4 linked regions of the Caenorhabditis elegans genome follow. The protein of the gene in region 3 purifies or fractionates together with the protein of the main gene of each other region. This does not show direct contact. Each region holds a gene or a part of one and is shown on either strand. Other genes may lie near its edges. The genes, in order: Y76B12C.3, clec-59, F30H5.3 and pas-3.

The links.
Region 1: the proteins of F30H5.3 (region 3) and Y76B12C.3 fractionate together in Caenorhabditis elegans (co-fractionation; one large-scale study listed by BioGRID). This does not show direct contact.
Region 2: the proteins of F30H5.3 (region 3) and clec-59 fractionate together in Caenorhabditis elegans (co-fractionation; one large-scale study listed by BioGRID). This does not show direct contact.
Region 4: the proteins of F30H5.3 (region 3) and pas-3 fractionate together in Caenorhabditis elegans (co-fractionation; one large-scale study listed by BioGRID). This does not show direct contact.

What each region holds. Positions count from the first base shown.
Region 1 is NC_003282.8:1,971,947-1,976,236, forward strand, and holds Y76B12C.3 (Selenoprotein F), read left to right. Parts: upstream 1-1,758; 5' UTR 1,759-1,761; coding exon 1,762-1,881; intron 1,882-1,933; coding exon 1,934-2,029; intron 2,030-2,116; coding exon 2,117-2,180; intron 2,181-3,415; coding exon 3,416-3,594; 3' UTR 3,595-3,736; downstream 3,737-4,290. Other genes in the region: Y76B12C.4 (Translation initiation factor IF-2), read right to left, coding at 33-425.
Region 2 is NC_003280.10:10,477,456-10,481,302, forward strand, and holds clec-59 (VWFA domain-containing protein), read right to left. Parts: upstream 1,994-3,847; coding exon 1,954-1,993; intron 1,907-1,953; coding exon 1,788-1,906; intron 1,740-1,787; coding exon 1,626-1,739; intron 1,581-1,625; coding exon 1,381-1,580; intron 1,334-1,380; coding exon 1,137-1,333; intron 1,088-1,136; coding exon 567-1,087; 3' UTR 549-566; downstream 1-548. Other genes in the region: ZK666.4 (Pepsin-I3 domain-containing protein), read left to right, coding at 1-238; clec-60 (VWFA domain-containing protein), read right to left, coding at 2,697-3,217, 3,265-3,467, 3,515-3,714.
Region 3 is NC_003281.10:506,164-513,911, forward strand, and holds the start of F30H5.3 (BPTI/Kunitz inhibitor domain-containing protein), read right to left. Parts: upstream 6,055-7,748; 5' UTR 5,755-6,054; coding exon 5,721-5,754; intron 4,805-5,720; exon of another isoform or gene 4,713-4,804; intron 4,671-4,712; coding exon 4,529-4,670; intron 4,472-4,528; coding exon 4,393-4,471; intron 4,340-4,392; coding exon 4,223-4,339; intron 4,175-4,222; coding exon 3,897-4,174; intron 3,748-3,896; coding exon 2,796-3,747; intron 2,714-2,795; coding exon 2,638-2,713; intron 2,517-2,637; coding exon 1-2,516. Other genes in the region: T22F7.3 (BPTI/Kunitz inhibitor domain-containing protein), read right to left, coding at 7,712-7,748.
Region 4 is NC_003279.8:5,104,560-5,108,004, forward strand, and holds pas-3 (Proteasome subunit alpha type-4), read right to left. Parts: upstream 1,490-3,445; 5' UTR 1,487-1,489; coding exon 1,114-1,486; intron 1,068-1,113; coding exon 688-1,067; 3' UTR 551-687; downstream 1-550. Other genes in the region: chp-1 (Cysteine and histidine-rich domain-containing protein 1), read right to left, coding at 1-232, 277-352; use-1 (Vesicle transport protein USE1), read left to right, coding at 1,734-1,829, 1,881-1,936, 1,987-2,062, 2,322-2,409, 2,454-2,588, 2,637-2,812, 2,862-2,999; aap-1 (SH2 domain-containing protein), read left to right, coding at 3,285-3,445.

The sequences.
Region 1 (4,290 bases), on a different chromosome or scaffold from region 3:
GATTTTTCCATATAAAAATCAATAAATCAGACCTCTTCGAGTTCATCCTTCGTCTTAGTCTTCTCTCTTTCCTTCTCTTTTTCCTTCTCCTCAGTGACTTCCTTCGGTGGTTTTTCCTCCTTTTCCTCTTCCTTTTCTGCCTCTTTTTCCTCCTTATCCGCCTCGTTTTTCTCATGGGTTTTCTCTTTTTCCTTCTCTTTTTCCTTCTCCTTTTCCGCCGCCTCTTTCTCCGATTCCTTTTCCTCAAATTCGTCGATCAACTTGGGCCCTTCACGTGGCTTAGAGGGCACTTTTTTCGCCCGTTTTTTCTTTTCCGGAGCCCAGTCATCAATCTCACTCAGTCCGTCTGTCATATCATATCCAGGCTTTAGAATTACTTTACCCGATTTCGTGCACTGTGGTTGCTCGGCGCGGTGTGCTTCCATTTTTGAATCTGGAAATTTATGGCTCAGAATTGTTGTGGAGGCCCGTAGAATTGCTATGGGAGCACATTTTGCTGATTTTTAGGCTTAGGCTTATGCGTGGCCTTAGGCTTAGACATAGATTCATGCTTAGGCTTAGCCTCGAGCTTTTGCTTATGGTTAGGCAGGCTTAACTTTAGGCTTAGGCTTAGGTACAGGCTTAGGCTTAGATTCTGGCTTAGGCTTCGACTTTGGCTTAGGATTAGGCTTTAGACTTTAGGCTTAGGCTTTATGCTTAGGCTTAGGTTCAGGCCTAAGGTTAGGCTGAGGGGGGGGGGGCTTAGACCTAGACTTATCGGTGTCTGGGGAGAAAAAAAATTAAATCAAGAAATTTCAAGATATCAAAACTTTCTCTCAGCTATAAAAAACTTTAAAATTCTGCGAAAAAGGCTTTTGATGAGAATTTTCGGCAAATTCCCGGAAACATACGCTGGCCGAGTTTTCGCTTTTCCTAGGCCACCTAGAAAAGAAGCAAAAAAGTTACCTTTATGTGAATCGGTTTTGACTTTTCCAAGAAATCAGATTTTATCCTCGCCGTCTTTCCGCTAGCCGAGAAGAAAATAACAATAAATTTATTTTCTCACAGGTTGTCGGTTTTTTTTTTTTGAAAAATTTGAATTCTAAGTTCAATTCGAAGTTCAAAATGGCAATTTCACGGAATAATTATTCAATTTTTGTTGAAAATTAATTTTCTAGATTTAAATTAAAACATGCATTCAATTTGTCCTCTCTGAAGTTGTTCGGTTTTTGCGCCAGAAATACGGTACCAGGTCTCGACACGACAAATTTTTGTTAAATGGAAAACATGTGTGTGCGCCTTTAAAGAGTACTGTAATTTGTTGTCAAATACATTTTTATCGAAAAACTATTAAAAATCGATTAAAACCCCGAATATTTAAAATGACAGTACTCTTTAAAGGCGCACACCTTTTAGAATGAAAAAAAATCCTGTCGAGTCGAGACCCAGTACCGTATTTTCATCGCAGAAATCGAAAAATCGATAGTTTCCGACATTTTCGTGCTTTTTACCCAATTTTCCCCCCGAAAAATATGGATTTTTAGCTATATAAACTTGTACTTTTCCCCTATTTTCCCTCCCGTGAATGGGTTCCCTCCAAACTTTGCCCAAAACTGTCGTCAAATATGGTGTGGCGGTACCCGGCGGTGTTTGCACTGCTGACGTCGATTTGAGCCAATTTTGGAGCATTTTCCACGTATTTTAATGGGGATTTTCACTCATTTTTCATGGATTTTTTGCTATTCCAAAACAAAACAAAAAAAAATAAAAATTTCCAGCAAAATGTGGGTGATTTTCCTGCTGCTGGCCGCCGTGGTTTCGCCTATGTTCGGTGAAGTTGAAGAGTATAAAATTGATGTAGAGGAGTGCAAGGCGGCGGGATTCAATCCGGAGACTTTAAAGGTTTTTCTCCTGAAAATCTTGGCAAAAATCTGAAATTTTCGTAAATTTTCAGTGCGGATTATGCGAACGACTATCGGATTATCATCTGGAAACGCTGCTCACCGATTGTCTTCAGTGTTGTATTAAGGAAGAAGAGTTTAAGCACGAAGTACGCTTTAAAATTGGGATTTTTTTGTGAAAAAATCGATTTTTCCCGCTAGAAATCACCCAAAAATCGATTTTTTTTAAATTTCAGAAATATCCAACGGCAATTCTGGAAGTCTGCGAGTGCAATTTGGCTCGATTCCCACAAGTTCAAGGTGAAAATTGATTGGAAAAAGAGAATATGGCCCGAAAAATACCTCAAAAGCGAAAAAAACTAGCTTTTCACACTAACTGTCGATGATTTACGCGGCTCGTGTACTCCCCGAGGAGAAGATTTTGTAGTTTTTGGCAGAAATTCTTGATTTTGAGCCATTTTTGTTAAAATGTTTCGTTTTCAACGTTAAAAATGCTAATTTATCCTTATTTTTAGTATTTGAACATTAAAAAATGCCCGAAATAAGGGATATTTTGCCAAAAAAACCATAAAATCCTACTACTCGCGGAGTACACACGCTGCGTAAATCTACACGGGGCTGTGCTAGAGCTCATTTTTCTGAAAATCGAAAAATTCTGTTTCCCTATTTTTCGAGAGGATAAAAATCATTTTTCCAAGAATTTTCTGAAATTTCTCTATTTTTAGAAAATAAAACTATTTCATTCGAAAAGAAAGTTTCTGCCGATTTTTTGAAAAAAGTTTTTAAAAAAGCGAAAATATTATTATTTTTCCCTGAAAAATGTTTAAAAAAACTAGCTTTTCACACACACACGATGGTTTACGCGGCTCGTGTACTCCCCGAGGAGAAGATTTTGTAGTTTTTGGCGGAAATTCTATTTCAGATTTGGAACCATTTTTGTTGAAATTTTTCGTTTTCAATGCTAATTTATCTCTATTTTTAGTGTTTGAAAGCGAAATTCTGGGTAATTTTGGTGAAAAACAAGAAATTCTTATAAATACCCCGATTTACACGTTCAAATACTAATAAAAGTGAAAAATTTGCGATTGAAATTTAAAAAATTAGCGAAAAATGACCAAAAGCGAGTTTTTTTTTGCCGAAAAACCATAAAATCCTGTTTATCGAGAGAAAAAAGGGTAAAAAACTATTTTTAACAGAAAAAGTCTTAATTTTTTACGATTTGCTCGGAAAAATTTCGAAAATCGAAAAAATTTCAAGCTTTTTTTATTTTTATTTTTCATCAAAAACCCCGATATTTTCATAGAGCCATTAGGCCATTTGGGCTCGGCCGGGGTCGATTTACGGCGCGTTGCGTGTCGCGTCGCGGCTCAAAAAAATAATTTTCCGTGTGGAGTACACGACTTTCTCTTTTTTTCATTTTTGCAATAATAATTTTTATGATTTTATTCGAAAAAAACCGAAAATCGAAAAATAAAAAAACTTTTTTTTAAATTTTTCAGTGAAATTTTCAACACCCAAAAAATCAATAATTCCAGCATTCGTCCATAAGGATATGGCTCGTCAATTCGGTGGAAAAGTGAAAGTTAAGCATGTACGAGGTGTCCGACCACAAGTTGCACTGAAAGATGCCGATTTTAAGACAAAAGAGGTGCTCAGCGTTGAGAAATGGGATACCGATACGCTCATCGACTTTTTCAATCAATGGCTCGAATAATTTTTTGTTATTAAATTCGATTTTCACCCCATATTTTCCTGACTCTCTCTCTCCATGTTTTCACTGGTATTTTTTAAATTATTTTCCAATTTTTTTTGCTGTAGTGGGCTGGTTAATAAAAGCAACAAGGTTCCGATATTTTCATTTTTCACATTAATTTCAGATTTTCATCACGACTCTTCTAGAATATTCCAAGCTTCTCCCTTTCATTTCATAATTACATTATCCTCCCCCACAGGGAGAAGGAACAAGTAAAATGAGAAGAAAACTAAAAATAATCGAATTATTACTGACTATGAGCTACAAATAGAGCTATAGTGGACCACTTGGCTCCAGTTTTGCCGGAAATTGATTACCTGAGCTCAGGCGCCTCCTGAGCCATTTTCGGCTTCTAATTGCCAGTTTGCCGGTTTGCAGGAATTTTTCATTTTCAGCAAATTGCCGGTTTCGCCAATTTGCCGGAATTTTTCATTTTCAGCAAATTGCCGGTTTGCCAATTTTCCGGAAATTTTAATTTCCGGCAAATTGCCAGTTTTCTGATTTGCAGGAATTTTTCAATTCCGGCTAATTGCCGGTTTGCCAATTTGCTGGAAATTTTCATTTTCAGAAAATTGCCGGTTTGCCAATTTGCCGGAAATTTTCATTTCCGGCAAATGTCAAGTTTTCTGCTTTGCTGGAATTTTTTATTTTGGGCAA
Region 2 (3,847 bases), on a different chromosome or scaffold from region 3:
CGATGATGCCTGCTTCAGTGACACTGGAATGGACTCCGGATTCTGCAGTGGAGACACTTCAACTGGACAATCAGCTTCAACATCTCCTGCTCCAGCCCATCTCATTCCAAACCCATTCTTTGATCCAGAATATGTTGCTTCCAAGACAACTATGAAACTCGTTGCCAATCCATTCTACAACCCAAAGCTCGCCAAGGAAATCAAGAAGAAGTCTACTCATACTTCTAAGTTTCAATAATTTCTCATTAACTCTTACAACTCTCCAAGTGCCAATTTGTTTTCTGTACTTTTCATTTGCCGGTCATTTATTTATTTTTTCTTACCTTTTATCTTGTTCAATATTTTGTAATTTTCCGCTTAAAGCAAAATTTCCCGTGTTTTTTATTGTTGTCCTTTCTAATTCCTAATCAATAAATTAATCAGTATAACTGAAAGATCGTTAAAGTTTGTCTCACAATTTTATTCATTAAATTAAAAGCAATCAAAGAATTGAATTTATTTGTTTGACAACAATTGTACATAGTATGAAGAAAATCAACATTAATAATAATAAATTACATATAAAACTAATGGTTTGAAATGGAATCACCTCCAGAGGAACAGTAGTTATTAGTGTCACAAGCAGCAGTTTCACATACATAGTTGGAGGCAGCTGCGAATTGATGAACGTTTTGCCATCCAATTTCCAAATCAACAGTTGTCTGTCGATTCAAAACAGTTGTCAACGAGGAATCAGATATTGGATATCCTGAATTCCAGATTTCATAGTTCTGAAGTTGTGGTTGTGTCCAATCTTGTGGCTGATCCCACTGCCACATTCCATTGACCTTGTTCAGTCCGATGTGATAGCTTAATGGAAAATGGAAACCAGAGAAGTTTTTGACAGATGATATAACAAAATTGTGTTTCCTGTTGTCATATTCATTGAGAAGATATGAATTTCTCCATCTATTACGGCATGATAATTGAGCAGCACGCCAGACGGCAGTCAATCCAACTGGAAGAATGCAGATTCCGTAACGGTAAGAATCCACGTCATCATGCAAAGCACGGTATTGAATCCAAGAAGTTGGACAGAAGCAATTTGCTGAACAATACGTGTTATTTCTTTATAAAATCAACTCAGTTTGAGATACCTTGAAGTAAAAATCCTTGAATTTCTCCGATAACATTCAAATTTTCATTCGAGAGATTGTGATAAGGAGTTGCAATTTTCTCGAGATCAACAAGAATGTCTCCGTCTTTATTTTGATCATATGCCACGGTGATAATTGTAACTCCAGAGGTTTTCAAGCGTTGAGCAACTGGAACTGGATTCAAGTCTCCACTTCCTCTGAAATTTTTTGGTTTTTAGTTGGGATTCCAAAAAATGCAACTCACTTGTATGTAGATGCATATACAATCACAACCTTCTGATAATGAGCACGGTTAAATCCATGCTTTCCCGCTTGAAAAACCTTCTCGGCTTGTGAAAGCCCTCTGGCAAGATATGATTCTTCAGAAGAGCTTATTGTTGCCAAAGCAGAGTTAATTCCACTATAGATATCATCAATTGATTGGAACTTGTTTAGATCCGCCGCCTGGAACAATACTAATGAGGAACAACAGTTTAGGGAAACGCTTACAGTTGTGGCATCAACATTGTATGTCACTAGTGCTAGTCTTGTAGTCTTTGGACTTGTCGGATTAGTGCCAATCTGTGTATTTTTACTGAATATGGAAGCAATATTTGCAGCGACCTGAAATATGCTCTTTTCAATAGAATAATTTGATTAGAATTACCGTACACTTGTCAATCCTCCCTTGGTCATTCCAGCAGAGTTATCCACAACAGCTACAACATCCAACCATAAATTACTCAAATCTTGTCCACATATGCGATCCGTATAGGACGAAGAAAGGTATGCTAAAAGTTACTAATTTTGGCAGGTAATTGATTGAAATAAGACTTACCATGAAACAAGAAGAAGAGCAAACAAATGTTTTTACTCATTTTTGCAAACAAATGAATGATTATTTTTCTCAATTCATTCTCTCTTTTATACACATGGAAGTTTCATTAAAATGATAATACACAAGATGCAGAGTGTATGTTTGAATTGAAGTATCCCAGACACACCTTATTACTGTCTCTTGTTTTCAAAAAAAACCAACGGATGAAACTTTGTTGTATTGAGGAATTATTTAACTGATAACACCACTGGTAACTTATTTTCGTACTACTATTTTTGAAAAGTAGTTGCAATGTTTTGAAATGCCGTACTAATTGAAAAAGTACGGGAGATTTCATTTGTTGTGAAACAATTGGTTAACGTAATTTTTCCTTCAAAATTATTGGTGAACAGTGTTGCTAAAAATTTTTTAAGTTGTAGCAAACGAAAAGAGAAAAAAGAAAGTTAATTATTTATTGAGAAAAGCCGAATAAATTTATTTCAGTTTTTGCTAGATTGTTAGAAATTTAACTTCACAAACTAAGAGTTGAATTATCAGTATCACAAGACGCAGTCTCACAAACATCTGCATTGAATGGTTTAATATTCTGCCATCCAGTCACCAAAAGTCCGCTTATTCGTTGGTTTGAAACACCTGGATTCCAAATTTTTATTACAAAGAGGGAGAAGCAGTACTAATAAAATAAATACGGTCTGTAGAATCAGAATTTATTATTATACAACAACAAGTATGTATCGTGTATATTAGTGTTTTACGGAAATTTCAGCAAGTCCAGCTTCGGTGCAGTAATTATCAGTATCGCAAGATGCCGTTTCACAAACATAATTGGCTCCAGTCGTCAGTGGCTTGATATTCTGCCATCCAGACTGCAGTTGCACACTTGATTGTTGATTCAGAACTCCTGTGAGAGTAGAGTCCGAAATGGGATATCCTGGATTCCATCCTGCATAACTTTGAAGCTGTGGTTGAGGCATTCCTTGTGGTTGATCCCATACCCAGACACCTTTGACCATACTGAGTCCGTTGTGATAAGTTAGAGGTACACTGAATCCTGTGTAATTGCTCACTGCAGTCAGGACATAATCGTGTTTGTTCGAATCGAATTCAGTGACAAGATATGCATTTCGGTTCATGCATGAAGATTTGGCAGCGCGCCATACCGCATTGAAACCGACTGGAAGAATGCAGACACCGTAGCGGTAGGAGTGAACATCAGTGTAAGATACACGGTATTGAATCCACGAGTTTCGGCAGAAACAGTTCACTGAAAATAGTTTGTATTGCTATATAATATAAGTTCCTTTAACAAACCTTGCAGCAAAGCATCCTGAATCTCTCCAATAACTTGCCCGTTGTCTTCGGTATTCGTGAAGTTGTATGGTGGAGATGCAATCTTTGCCAGATCTGCAAGAAGAGCACCGTCTCCGTCTTGATCATATGCCACAGTAATAACAGTCACTCCAGAAGTTTTCAGTCTTTCAGCAACTGGCACTGGGTCCAAGGCTCCGGATCCCCTAAAGACAAGCAATAAATGGTTGCACAAACTGTCTAAAGAACATACTTGTAAGCTGATGCATAGACAATCACAACTCTCTGATAATGAGTACGGTTGTACCCTTGTTTGCCGGCTTCAAGTACATCTTCTGCTCTTGCAAGCCCATTTGCTAGATATGACTCTTCGGAAGTGCTGACTGACGAAAGAGCACGGAAAACATTATCGTAGACGTCATCGAGTGATTGGTATTGGTTAAGATCGGCTTGCTGTAACATTTTTAATGTCTCGAAGATTTTGATACTGATAACGTGGAGTATGGTTGGTGGAAGTTTGTAAATACATAATAATTCCCAGTTCATGAAAGAAGTTACTGTAGTTTTTCTTGATGCAACAATTGTG
Region 3 (7,748 bases):
ATTTGGCTTAGAACTGAAAGTGCTTGGCTTTCCGGATTTCTTCTCGGCGACGATTGCTGACGCCTTCCCACCTCCACAGCAGATGTTCTGTTGAGCGGTTTGAGAGAATTGACAGCTGAATCCACGTGGACAATTTGGACGGGATGGAGTACAGAATCTGGCGGCTTTAGTTCTCAACTCGAGGAATGGAATCTGTCCTGGAATTGGGCAAGTCGACATTGGTCGCGACATCTTCTTCATGCAAACATCCTCGACAGCCTCTTCGCCTTCTGGGCAGGTGCAGGTAGCGTCAAGGCATGAAGATCCACCTTGGCACTGTTCATCAGCTTCGCAAGCCTCTCCGATAAGGGATTTAGCAACACACTTTCCGGCGACCTCGACTTCGTTTGGTCCACAGTCTGGGAGACAAACTCCGTTGAGTTCGTGATGTCCTTCTGGACAAGAGCACACAGATTCCTTGCAGAGACTTCCAGTTGGGCACTGAACTTGGTTACTGCAGATGTCTCCGAGAGATTTCTTATCGAGACAGGCTCCCTCAACCTCAACTTGTTTTTCGGTGCAGCCCTTGGTAGGAGTTGTTGGTCCGACTGGCTCGTCGTTTGTGGTACAACAGAGTTGTGCTCCTGAGATGGCTCTCTGGCAAGAATATCCGGATGGGCAAGTGCTCTGACCAATTGCGCAAGATTGTGGTTCTCCGGTGATTCCGATGAAGGCAACTGAATCATTTGGACATCCTCCCGACATTCCACAGCATTGGAATTGATTGTTAGCGGTGGAGAATTGGCAGAAGAACCCTGTTGGGCAGTTCTGAGAGGCGGCTGTGCAGATTCTTGGAGCATTTGATGCCTTCTCGCGGAATGCGACCTGGTTGTTCGGGCATCCGAGAGCAGCGATCGACTTTGGTGTGGTGATTGGTGTGGCTCCACAGCATTGGTATCTCTGGTTAGCCAACGACCATTGGCAGGAGTATCCATTTGGACATGGAGCATTCGGTGGGTTAAATGGATCACATGGGGCAATCTGGTTGTCCTTCATGAACACATACTCATTAGGTGGGCAACCATCAGAGACAGAAGCGACCTCTCCCTTACAACAGAATCCGGTGGTGAACTCGTTTTGGGTGGATTGACAGGAGTAACCATTTGGACAAGTGATGAATGCTCCAACTGTGCAGGATCTTGGCATCTGGGAGGATTCTTCCAAGTAGAACTCGGCCTTGTTTGGACAGAGATGGTTTCCAGAGCAGCAGTATCCTTGGAAAGCGCCTGGAACATCGGACTGACAGGTGTACCCGGTTGGGCATTGGTTGTTGTTGCTGCTGATGGTACAACGAATCGGGGCCTTGGAGCTTGGTTCCTTGTAAAGAGCCTTTCCAGATGGGCAGAGATCTCCTGTGATCGAGGCACAGCAGTAGTATCTGTTCTTCATGGCGTTGAATCTGCAGAGATAGTTGCTCGGGCAGGATCCCTCCACATTGATCAGACACTCGCGGACTCCCATATCGGCAGCGTTGACGTAAGCCTTCTCGCCTTCTGGGCAGACATCCATGTTGGTGGCTCCACAGCAAACAGAGTTGGAGGACAGCTGATCGTAGGTACAAGCGAAGTTGGTTGGGCAACTGTTGGATAGAGCTGCATTGCACTCATATGGCATATTTGTGTTGGGGTTCACGTAGGCTACATCTCCAGGGGTACAGGCAGCTGAAAGGCAGAAGTTGTTACATTGCTCGAGGGTGGCGAAATTGTTGAGATTTCCGGAGCATCCGTTGTAGGTGAACTGGGTGCACTCCTTGGTGACAATATTGAAGTAGAATCGAGCAGCGGCGGATGAGCTGCAGGAGGATCCTTGTTGTGGTGGAAGAGAGCAGATGTAGGCACGAGTTGGGCAACAACGGTTGACAACTGAGCTTCCAGAGTTTACAGACGTACACTCGTGGGTTCCTGGGCACACCTGGGTGGTCGAGCAGACCATAAGCTGACCGAACTCGTTGCGTTCTGGAGTTCCACCATTTGGACATCCTCCGACTCCACAGTATCCTTCACAATCCTCGCGCGTAGCAAAGTTGTTGGAGTTTCCGTCACATCCATTGTACTGGTAGGATTCACATTCTTGGGTCTGAGAGTTGTAATAGTATCTGTAAGAAGATCCAGATCCGCAGGTGACTCCCTTATGTGGGGAAAGGGTACAGGTGTAGGCCTTGGTCGGGCAGCATCCCCACACGTATCCGTCGAAATAGCATTCATAGTTGACTGGGCAAGAGTTTCCAGCTCCAGAGTTGGAGCAGACGTAGTAGTTTCCTTGGTAATCCTTGTAGGCGTCTCCTTGTGGGCACTGTGGCTCTGGAATAATGTTCTCGCAAGTGTTCTGGCACTCCAACAGGGTCTCGAAGTTGTTATCGTTTCCTTGGCAGCCGGTGTAGTCGAAGATCTCACAGGCACGGGTAACTGCGTTGTACCAGTAACGGCGGACGGATTGCTTGCAGTCTCCGAGGCGGAGGGGTTGGGAGCAGATGGCTTCTGGAATTAATGTTTTGAGGTTTTTAGTGGGCTGAGGAACTGATGATAGGTCTAGGTCGTATTGCAATCTTAGCCTAGGACTGAGTAAACTGAGTAAAAAATTTAAAACTCTAAAACTTACGAGGTCTTGGACAGCAGACATTGTGATCTGACTGGCACTCGTGGGTACTTGGACAGTCGGCACTGGCGGAGCATCTCTGAAAATTTCATTTTTCTCGAAATACGAATTCGAACTCGCGAAACCTCCGGTACCCCCGGTGTTATTTACACTGCACATACCTGATTAGATGACCCAATCTTGAGTGGAGTTCCGTATTTGCATTGCAATTTGGCGCAGAACAACTCGCAATCAGCTGACGACTTGAAATTGTTGTAGTTTCCGAGTGCTCCGTTGTAGGTGAACGCGATGCATCTTCCCTGCTCCGCGTCGTAATAGTATCGCGAGCTCGTGGAGAAGGTCATGGAGAAGCTGCGCTTCATCAACATACCGGCGTCAAAGTTGGTGGATCGGACCAAGTCGACTGGACGGCCTCCGGTGTTGGAGCAGACGCTGGCGACAGTTGGGCAGCAGAGCTGCATGGATCCAATGGAAGTGCACTCGAAGTTAGATGTGCAGGAAGAGGCCGTCTGGCAGTTGCTGACGACTTCATCCTCATTCTGAGCGGATCCGGTGAGGTATTGTGGGGATCCACGCTTACAAGTGTCTCTACAATAGGATTCACAGTGCTCACGAGTCTTGAAGTTGTTTGGTGATTGCATCTCGGTCTCATCCCATGGGTCCCACATGAATTGTTCGCAGGTGCCAGTGACAGCGTTGTACCACCATCTTGGACGGACTCCTGCTGGCGCCGAACTTCCACTATCAGCTTCTCTCTTTGGTTGGATGCAGGTGAAGGCTCTGTTAGGACAGCAGATACCATCGGAGGCTGGATGAATGTCATAAACTCCTTCCATTGCAGTCTTAACGTTGGCCATTGATGTCGTGGAGGTGACACAATCATAGATATCAGCGATATAGATACCATCTCCTTCCTGAGCGTTGTTAGCATCGGTCGCGTAAGCACACGCACCTCCTCCGTTGGCGATGAAGGTGGTATAGTCGGTGGATTGAGAGGAGCAGAATTGAAGTGGGTTGATGTGCTCGCCCATTTGAATGTCAGCATCGTCTGGATCGGTCATGTGAGGGTTGCGAAGTTGGGACACTGGCATTGTGAGGAGATCATCGTCGTATCTAGAAGAAGTTGGAAATTAACGATAAGAAGGTAGCTAGTTAGGTTGTGACTCAGTATCAGACTGACTATGAGGCTTGGCTTTGGTTCAGGCTTAGGTTTAGGCTGAAGCTTGAAGTCACAAAATAGCTCCCACTGAATAAAAACTCACTCTGGAAGTGGGCACTTTGGCACCGGATCTCCGTCTTCTCCGGAATGAAGAACACAAACGACTCCGTCCCTGGTCTTGGCCTGAACATATGGAATTCCATTCACATCCTCCGGGCACTCGCATCTCGACTTTTCGCACCGCGACTCTGGCCATACTGCGGAGCACTGCTCGGCGTACTGACATCCAGACTCTCCTGGATTCTTCTTCAGGTAGCAGTATCCTTGGATGGCGACGAAGTTCGAGAGGCATGTGCAAGATCCTGTGGAGCAGAACATTCCCTGGAAATTTGAATTTTAGAATCTCGAAGAAGTTCAAAATCCACTTACAGTCAAGCAATCGGTGTTGAAGCTGCAAAAATCTCCAACTCTTCCGGATCCGGCAACTCCTTGCCGCTTGTACCGAACATTGCCAGTTCGGCACTTTCCGTCAATGAAGAATTGGCTCTAAAAATTGAGAATTTGTTAAGATTATTCAACAACTGGAATAGATTTTATACTTTCGGACAAATCTTTCGTTCGATTTCCTTCTTGACAAGATTGCAGATAAGGAACGCGTTCTCGTGAGTGTCGGTCTTGCTGAAATTAGAAAAAGTCGTGTTTAGTAACAGCTTCCTTATTCAAAAGTGGTCTTACTTTGTGGCAAGATCGCAATAGATGGAATCAATAGTCATCTCCTCATCACACTTATCACCTTCAGTCGGTATCCGACATCCGGACGTGTCACAACCATCGCCTATCCTGCAAATCGGCTTCTGCTCGACTGCATATGTGCCTCCTGAAACAAAAAGTTTTACTATTCGTCACCACCTGCTCCCAATCCTCAAGGCACGATCGTCTGCGCTCGCGGCCGCTTTAACCCAAATCGGGCAACAGTCACGCCGCCGCCGCCATATTTGCGGCGAATCGAATCTCAGACACTGAGAACCCCCCACACAATGTTTGCCAATTTTATTGTATGTGCTTGGATTTGTTTTGGAACGCGGCGCGGCGATAGAGAGAGAGAGCACTAGAAACACGAAAAAGGTATTATGCAAGTTGAACTCTCTAGTCTGGTGCTCTAAAAATAGAATTTAATTGGACTTGTGACCTGATGGGTGTTTTGATGGTCTGGGTCTGGCAGTTGTGAAGCACCTAAGACCCCCAGGAAGCTTTAAAATTCATGTTAGTGCTGATTTCGTAAAGGCATAGGCCAGTTTAATGCAAAATCTTGGGCTAGAACGAATATTTAAAGACTAGATTTATTTTGAACAATTCTGAGAATAGAATCGTGCTTTGATTTTTAGGTAGTGATAGAAATTTTGACGTTTTAAGTTTTCAAGAGTAAAAAAGAGATGGCTTGCTGTTTTTGAGTGGGGTTTTGAGGTAAAAGTCAAATTTTCAAAAAAATTCCATAAAAACTACCGACTCACAGCATACTTTTTGTATAATAAATAAGGGTCAAAAACCTACAGTGGTGAAACTACTCATTTTTAGGGTTAGAGCTCTTTAGGCTAGACTTGTAGGAACACATTCTTAGTTTTATAAGTTCTTCTCCGACAACTAAGTTTGCAAAAATTATATTTTTATAAAAATATATATGTTAAAATAGTTTCAAGAACTTTATGCTGATATTTCTGAGTTTAAGTATTGTGCTAACCCTCGTAAATTGAATCAAAATTTGAAGAAAACTTTCAAGTTCATATTGCTAGCAAGAAAAAGTCCAAGTGTCAAGTAGCAGAATTCAAACTCTAAAAATTTGAATTAAAGTATTGCTTATGTTAAAGAATTTGATTCAAAAGTTTTCAAAGCAACCATAAAAAAATCCGGCAAAAAAGAAAAAGCTTACCTGCAAGCAGGAGTAAAATAAACCAGTTACGCATTGCTGCGGAATATCAATTGATTGATGTTTGTGATTATTATATAATGAGTGTTCAAAATGAGTAATTGAATACAATAAAGAAGGGCAATTTGGAAATGTGATAGAGACCTGGATATATGAAATGGCTCTTTTGTTATTGATTGAAAATCATACGAAAATAATCAGATAATTCTTTGATTGCCTTCTGATGATGATGGTGCGGGGTGGTTCGAATCCAAGACGAGTTGCAATCGAATGGCTTTTGTGTTGAGCTGAGTCTGCTGGTCAAGGTCAGGGGAGGGAGCGAGGGAGGGGTCACTATATTTGTGTGCTCGCAGAGCCAAGAGAGGAGGGGTTTCTCTTGGTGTTGTTTACCCGCGGTTTCGCAAGATTCTCGTTCGAGAATACAGTTCGGGTCACTCGTGTAATGCGATTTACATGTTGAGAGCGGTGGGGAGGGGAGAGAGAGCAACATCGTAATTGAGCCTGGTACATTGTATACGGAGCATGATAGGGGCTTATGATCGGCATTTCGGAATTTTGTATGATATCATTGAGCTTCGGTTTTCACACTCTCAGTAGTCATACTCGCATTCTCTAATTTTCTTTGAATAGCGGGTTAAAAAACACATCTGATAAGATAAATTAGTAAAAGTCCCCAGAAACATGTGCGATATGTATGCATAATATATGAAAAATCTGTGTTCAACTAAACTTGTACTAGCTCTATAAAAAATGCTAGATATTTCCAATGTTGACAACCTACATCTATGTTGTCATTGGATTTCTCAAGAATTGTCAACTGCCAAGATATTCGTTATATCGTCTTCTATAGTTTGATAACTTATCAGTTCACGATATTTTTTTGGATATGACGTGTAGCCTTACTCATTAGTACCATGGGCCATATTGAACACTAGTTTAAATTTTCATTCATTTCACAATTTCTTCGTCTTCATGAGAAGTCTCTGTTTTTCATACTGTTGCCACGTAGCGTGAAGATTACCAAAGGTATGAAAAGTCAAAGTGGAGTGGAACAGCGCAAGACTAAGTACGTTTGAAATTCAGAAAAATCGGTAAAAATTTTAAGGGGTAAGATTCTCGAAAAAGATCACTGAGCTTTTTGGTTTTCGTGAAACTTGAATTATGAGCTGATTCCGAACTTGAATTATGAGCTGACATCATAAGTTTCTTTTTTTTTAATTTCTACAAAAAATTTCCACGAATACCTTAGGATTTGCGAAACTGATTTTCGTGAAAAATCACCGCTTCGAAAATGGTTTTTTGCAATTCGCAAAAATTTTGAAAGTAACCGTCTTCTTGAGTATCCAGCAGGATGATCCTGTGATTTCAGCCCGCTACTGCACAGAAACACTTTCTGACATCCTTAACACCCGAGGTTTAGTGTATTTTTGTGTAGCATACTTGGCCCAGTTTCCTCTGATCCGCGCGGGCATCCATCCTATCTCATTATAAAGTGTACGTCAAGAGAAACTGATCTTCGCACCAAACATATGTATGTTTTACTGTATGTTTAATGTTGGTGGCGGCGGCGCTGGTTCAAATATTGTACAAACCAACACCGCTTCTCTTCTAATCGGGGCTCTCGCGCGCGCTCACAATGATAAGATCACGCGCGGCGCGGAACTCCAAAAAGAGTGAACTTTTTCGCCGGTCTCACCTCTCTCCGCGAGCAAATCATGACCTGATGAAAAACACGCGCAGCACCGGTGCGCCGCTTTTTTTGTTCCGACTGTTTGTTTTGGGTGGCTAACGACTGTTTTTAGGAAGGCGGGGGGAGTTGAATTGGAATTGCAGTGGATTAAATTGAGAGTTTCTTTATTTAGAATTTTTGTTATAGAACATCTCCGGAGCAACAAAGAGACGGGGGAAAGAAGAAAAAGAAAAATAACCGTAACGAGACAAGGTGTATACCTCGGGAGAATTAAAAAAGACAACTGGGGAAAGAGTAACAGAATCTATCGCCTTCGTTGAGCAGCGCACGGAGCATACCAT
Region 4 (3,445 bases), on a different chromosome or scaffold from region 3:
CCAGATTTATTGAGCCCTTTCCAAACAATAACATCTTCTTCTTTCTCTGGTCGAATTTCCTTTACCGCGGCAACTTTTACAATATCGACTGGTTTTTCATTGCTGTGTTTTCCACGCGTACATCCTTTATAATTCATCCATGTACCGAAATCAGTACTTTTCTTATCACAACATGTCCAAATCTTGTATGCATCATGGAAATACGGACCCCCAGGGTGATATGTACAAGCTTCTGAAAAATTAAACTGATTTTTTTTATTTTCCAATTAATCTTACCGTTGTCATTCTCCTTGGGATCGAAAAGGAGACCGCATCCTTTATGATAGCACTGCAGTTTACTTTCGTCAACCATCTAAAAATGCAAAAGCGATTTTTTTTCTGAAGATTTCGGCTTAATAATCCAGTTTTCCCCCAAATGCTCGAGAAAATTCGAGACTCCGCCCATTGCAATGTTGCGGCACACTCCTTCTTTTTTCCAGCACTCTCGCTTGACCAAATAATCAAAGATTTGCACGGACAACAACAAGGTGAATTAAAGAAAGCAAAATTTAAAAATACAAATATTTAATTTTCACCGACGTTTGAGATAGGAATATGGGTGATAAGAAATAAAACCAGACAATAAATTAAACGGGTGGGAGGATGGTTTACAATACAGTCTTGAAAGATTATTTCAAAGGCAATAGATTACTTCTTCTCAGCAGTCTCAGCTTCCTTTTCTTTCTTCTCGTGCTCAGCAATCAGAGCATCGACTTCCTTGGTGGTGAGCTCTTCGAGCACAGTCTTTCCATCACGACGAGTCAAAACAGCCATCTCAACTTTCTCGGAAGCGAGCTTCACATCCAAAGTCTTCCAGAGAACCTTGATAGCCAACTGCTTTGCTTCTTCAAGATTTGGGGATTTGTACTCCTGTTTCAACAAGGTTACGGCAGCCTGGTGGTTGCTTCCGATGCAGGTTGCCTTCCATCCAGTGTAGTTTCCGGAAGGATCAGATTGGTAAAGTTGATATCCGTAGTGCTTATCCCATCCGATATAGAGAAGTGACACTCCGAACGGTCTCTTTCCTCCTGAAAATCATATTAATAGAAATCAAGAGAGAAGTTATCAACAAACCAATCTGCGTGTATCTCTGCTTTTCATTGCAAAGATTCTGGACGAGCTGCTCAACTGGCATTTCCTCTCCGTAACTGTTACGATAGCTGGCAGCCCACCATCTCAAGTGGTTGATGAGGATGTTCGCGTCGGCGGTGATACCAGCGACAGTGCACGAGATGTTGTCCGAAAGACGGTAGACCTTTTCAGTCATGACAGAATCATCCAGCAACTTGTGAACGTTCTTTCTCTCAGCAGCAACGACGATTCCTTCCGATGAGAGAATGCCGAGGCAAGTTCCAGCATGGCTGATAGCCTCCATAGCATATTCGACTTGATACAGTCTTCCCTCCGGAGAGAAGATGGTCGTTCTACTATCGTAACGACGGGCCATTCTCTGAAAATATAAAGATAATCTAGACAAATATGATTTTAAAATATAAACGGCAGAAACCTATAGAAAAATTACATAAAACAAGAAGAATCTCTCAGTCCTCGACAAAAAGGATGACTTGAAAATTTTTTCGCGCATGAGCGCATTTGCATTTTTGTATTTCTCGGCCGTGGCCGAACTTATTTGTTTTCAAGTTGTCAACGTTTATTTTTATTTTTTTATCTAATTTTGTCAAAACATCAATGAAATGGCGTATATTTCTGAAAATGAGCTGAAATTTCTACGACTTCTCGAGCGAACAAAGCGCTTGACAAAAGAGGATATGTCAGCAAACGTTTGGAAAGCAAGTATCACATTTTAAGTTCTGTTTAATTAATTATTTTTCTTATTTCAGGTTTCTGCAGCTACAAAGATTCTCAATAAAATGATTTATACACTTCAAAACGATGAGTGAGTTTTTCAAAATACATTTTTTAATATTTATAGTTTTACTTTTCCAGAACCACAAATGATATTCTCCACGAGTACCGACAGGAAGTCTTGCAACTGAAATTACTCGCTGAAGCTGAAAGCAAGGTTTGTAGATATTTTAGACAAGCAAATTCGATCTTGTAATTTTGCTTTAAAGATACAAATTTTTACATAATTTCTAAACTTAATTTGAATTTGTTTGATTTGTTTCAATTAAAAATTTAATCCTAAAATATTATGCAAATGTTCCGTAGATTTTATGTCCCTCTTTTCAATTTAGATTTAAGTAAAGAAAACAAGTTGAACAGCTTTAAATATTTTGTGAATTTCGCAACTGTTATGAAATTGTCAGTAAGTTTTCCAGTCGTCAGCCGAGGAGCGCCTGAAAGTGATTGAAAAAATTCCACGTGTATTTCCCGATGTCCAAGTAACTGTTGCAGACTCCAAGAATGGTTTTTGAATTATTCAATATTTCATTTTAATGTTTATATTGCAGATAACGAGGCGGAAAGTTACGATTTTGAAAAAGAATCCGCAGCTGGACTCCGAGCTACTCAACGATCCATCTATCGATCAGATCTTCGGAAGCAGTTGCTTTCATCTAATAAACATAGAGCACAAGACACATCTGGTAAAAATTAGTATCCAATGATTGTTCAAAATTCGTCAAATTTTATAGAAGATCAGGAATTCATGAAAAATGAGCTTGTCGAGGAGGAGCTAGCAAATAGTTTGGCCACTATGGCGAGATCATTCAAAACGATGATGTCGGCTGCTGGAGATGTGATTAAAGAAGATACAGAAAGAGCAATATTAATGGCGAAAGAAGTCGATGATAATAAAACAGCTCTCGGGGTAATTTCTTCACTATATAAACTTCAAATAATAGTCTTAAAATTTCCAGATTCAAAGTGAGCGAGTTGAGCGTCACGCCTACAAATGTGGTTATGACTGTTTCAAGGTCATGCTCATTGTTCTGATTTTTATGAGCTTCGTATCAATGGTTCTTATGATGAAAATTTTCAAAAAAGCGAGCACTTAATAGTCGGGACGAATTGCTAGTATTTATGGGTGTAAATATTTCAAATAAAATTATTTAATTATTTGCATTCTTCGAATTTTTTTTCTCGTTGATATTTCCATTGGTCTACAGACCATGTTATACATACTTTTTTTGTTGGTTTTTTTTGGTGTTTTCACAAATTTCAATGCTTTGCTTTTTGGTCTCGGCTTGGTCTTGTGCCAGATTTAGTCTACTTCGGCAAAAACACCACAGATTCTTCTCCTCCGTTAATTATATATATATATATATATATAAGGATTCAGAATGAGCACAACACCTGGAACTCCTCATGGAGTCACTCATAGTCTTATGGAACAAGGATGGTACTGGGCTGATGCTGATAGATCTGCAGTTTCGAAAGCACTTTCTGATCAACCTGATGGATCATTTATTGTGAGAAATGCTAGTACACCTGGAGATTATAC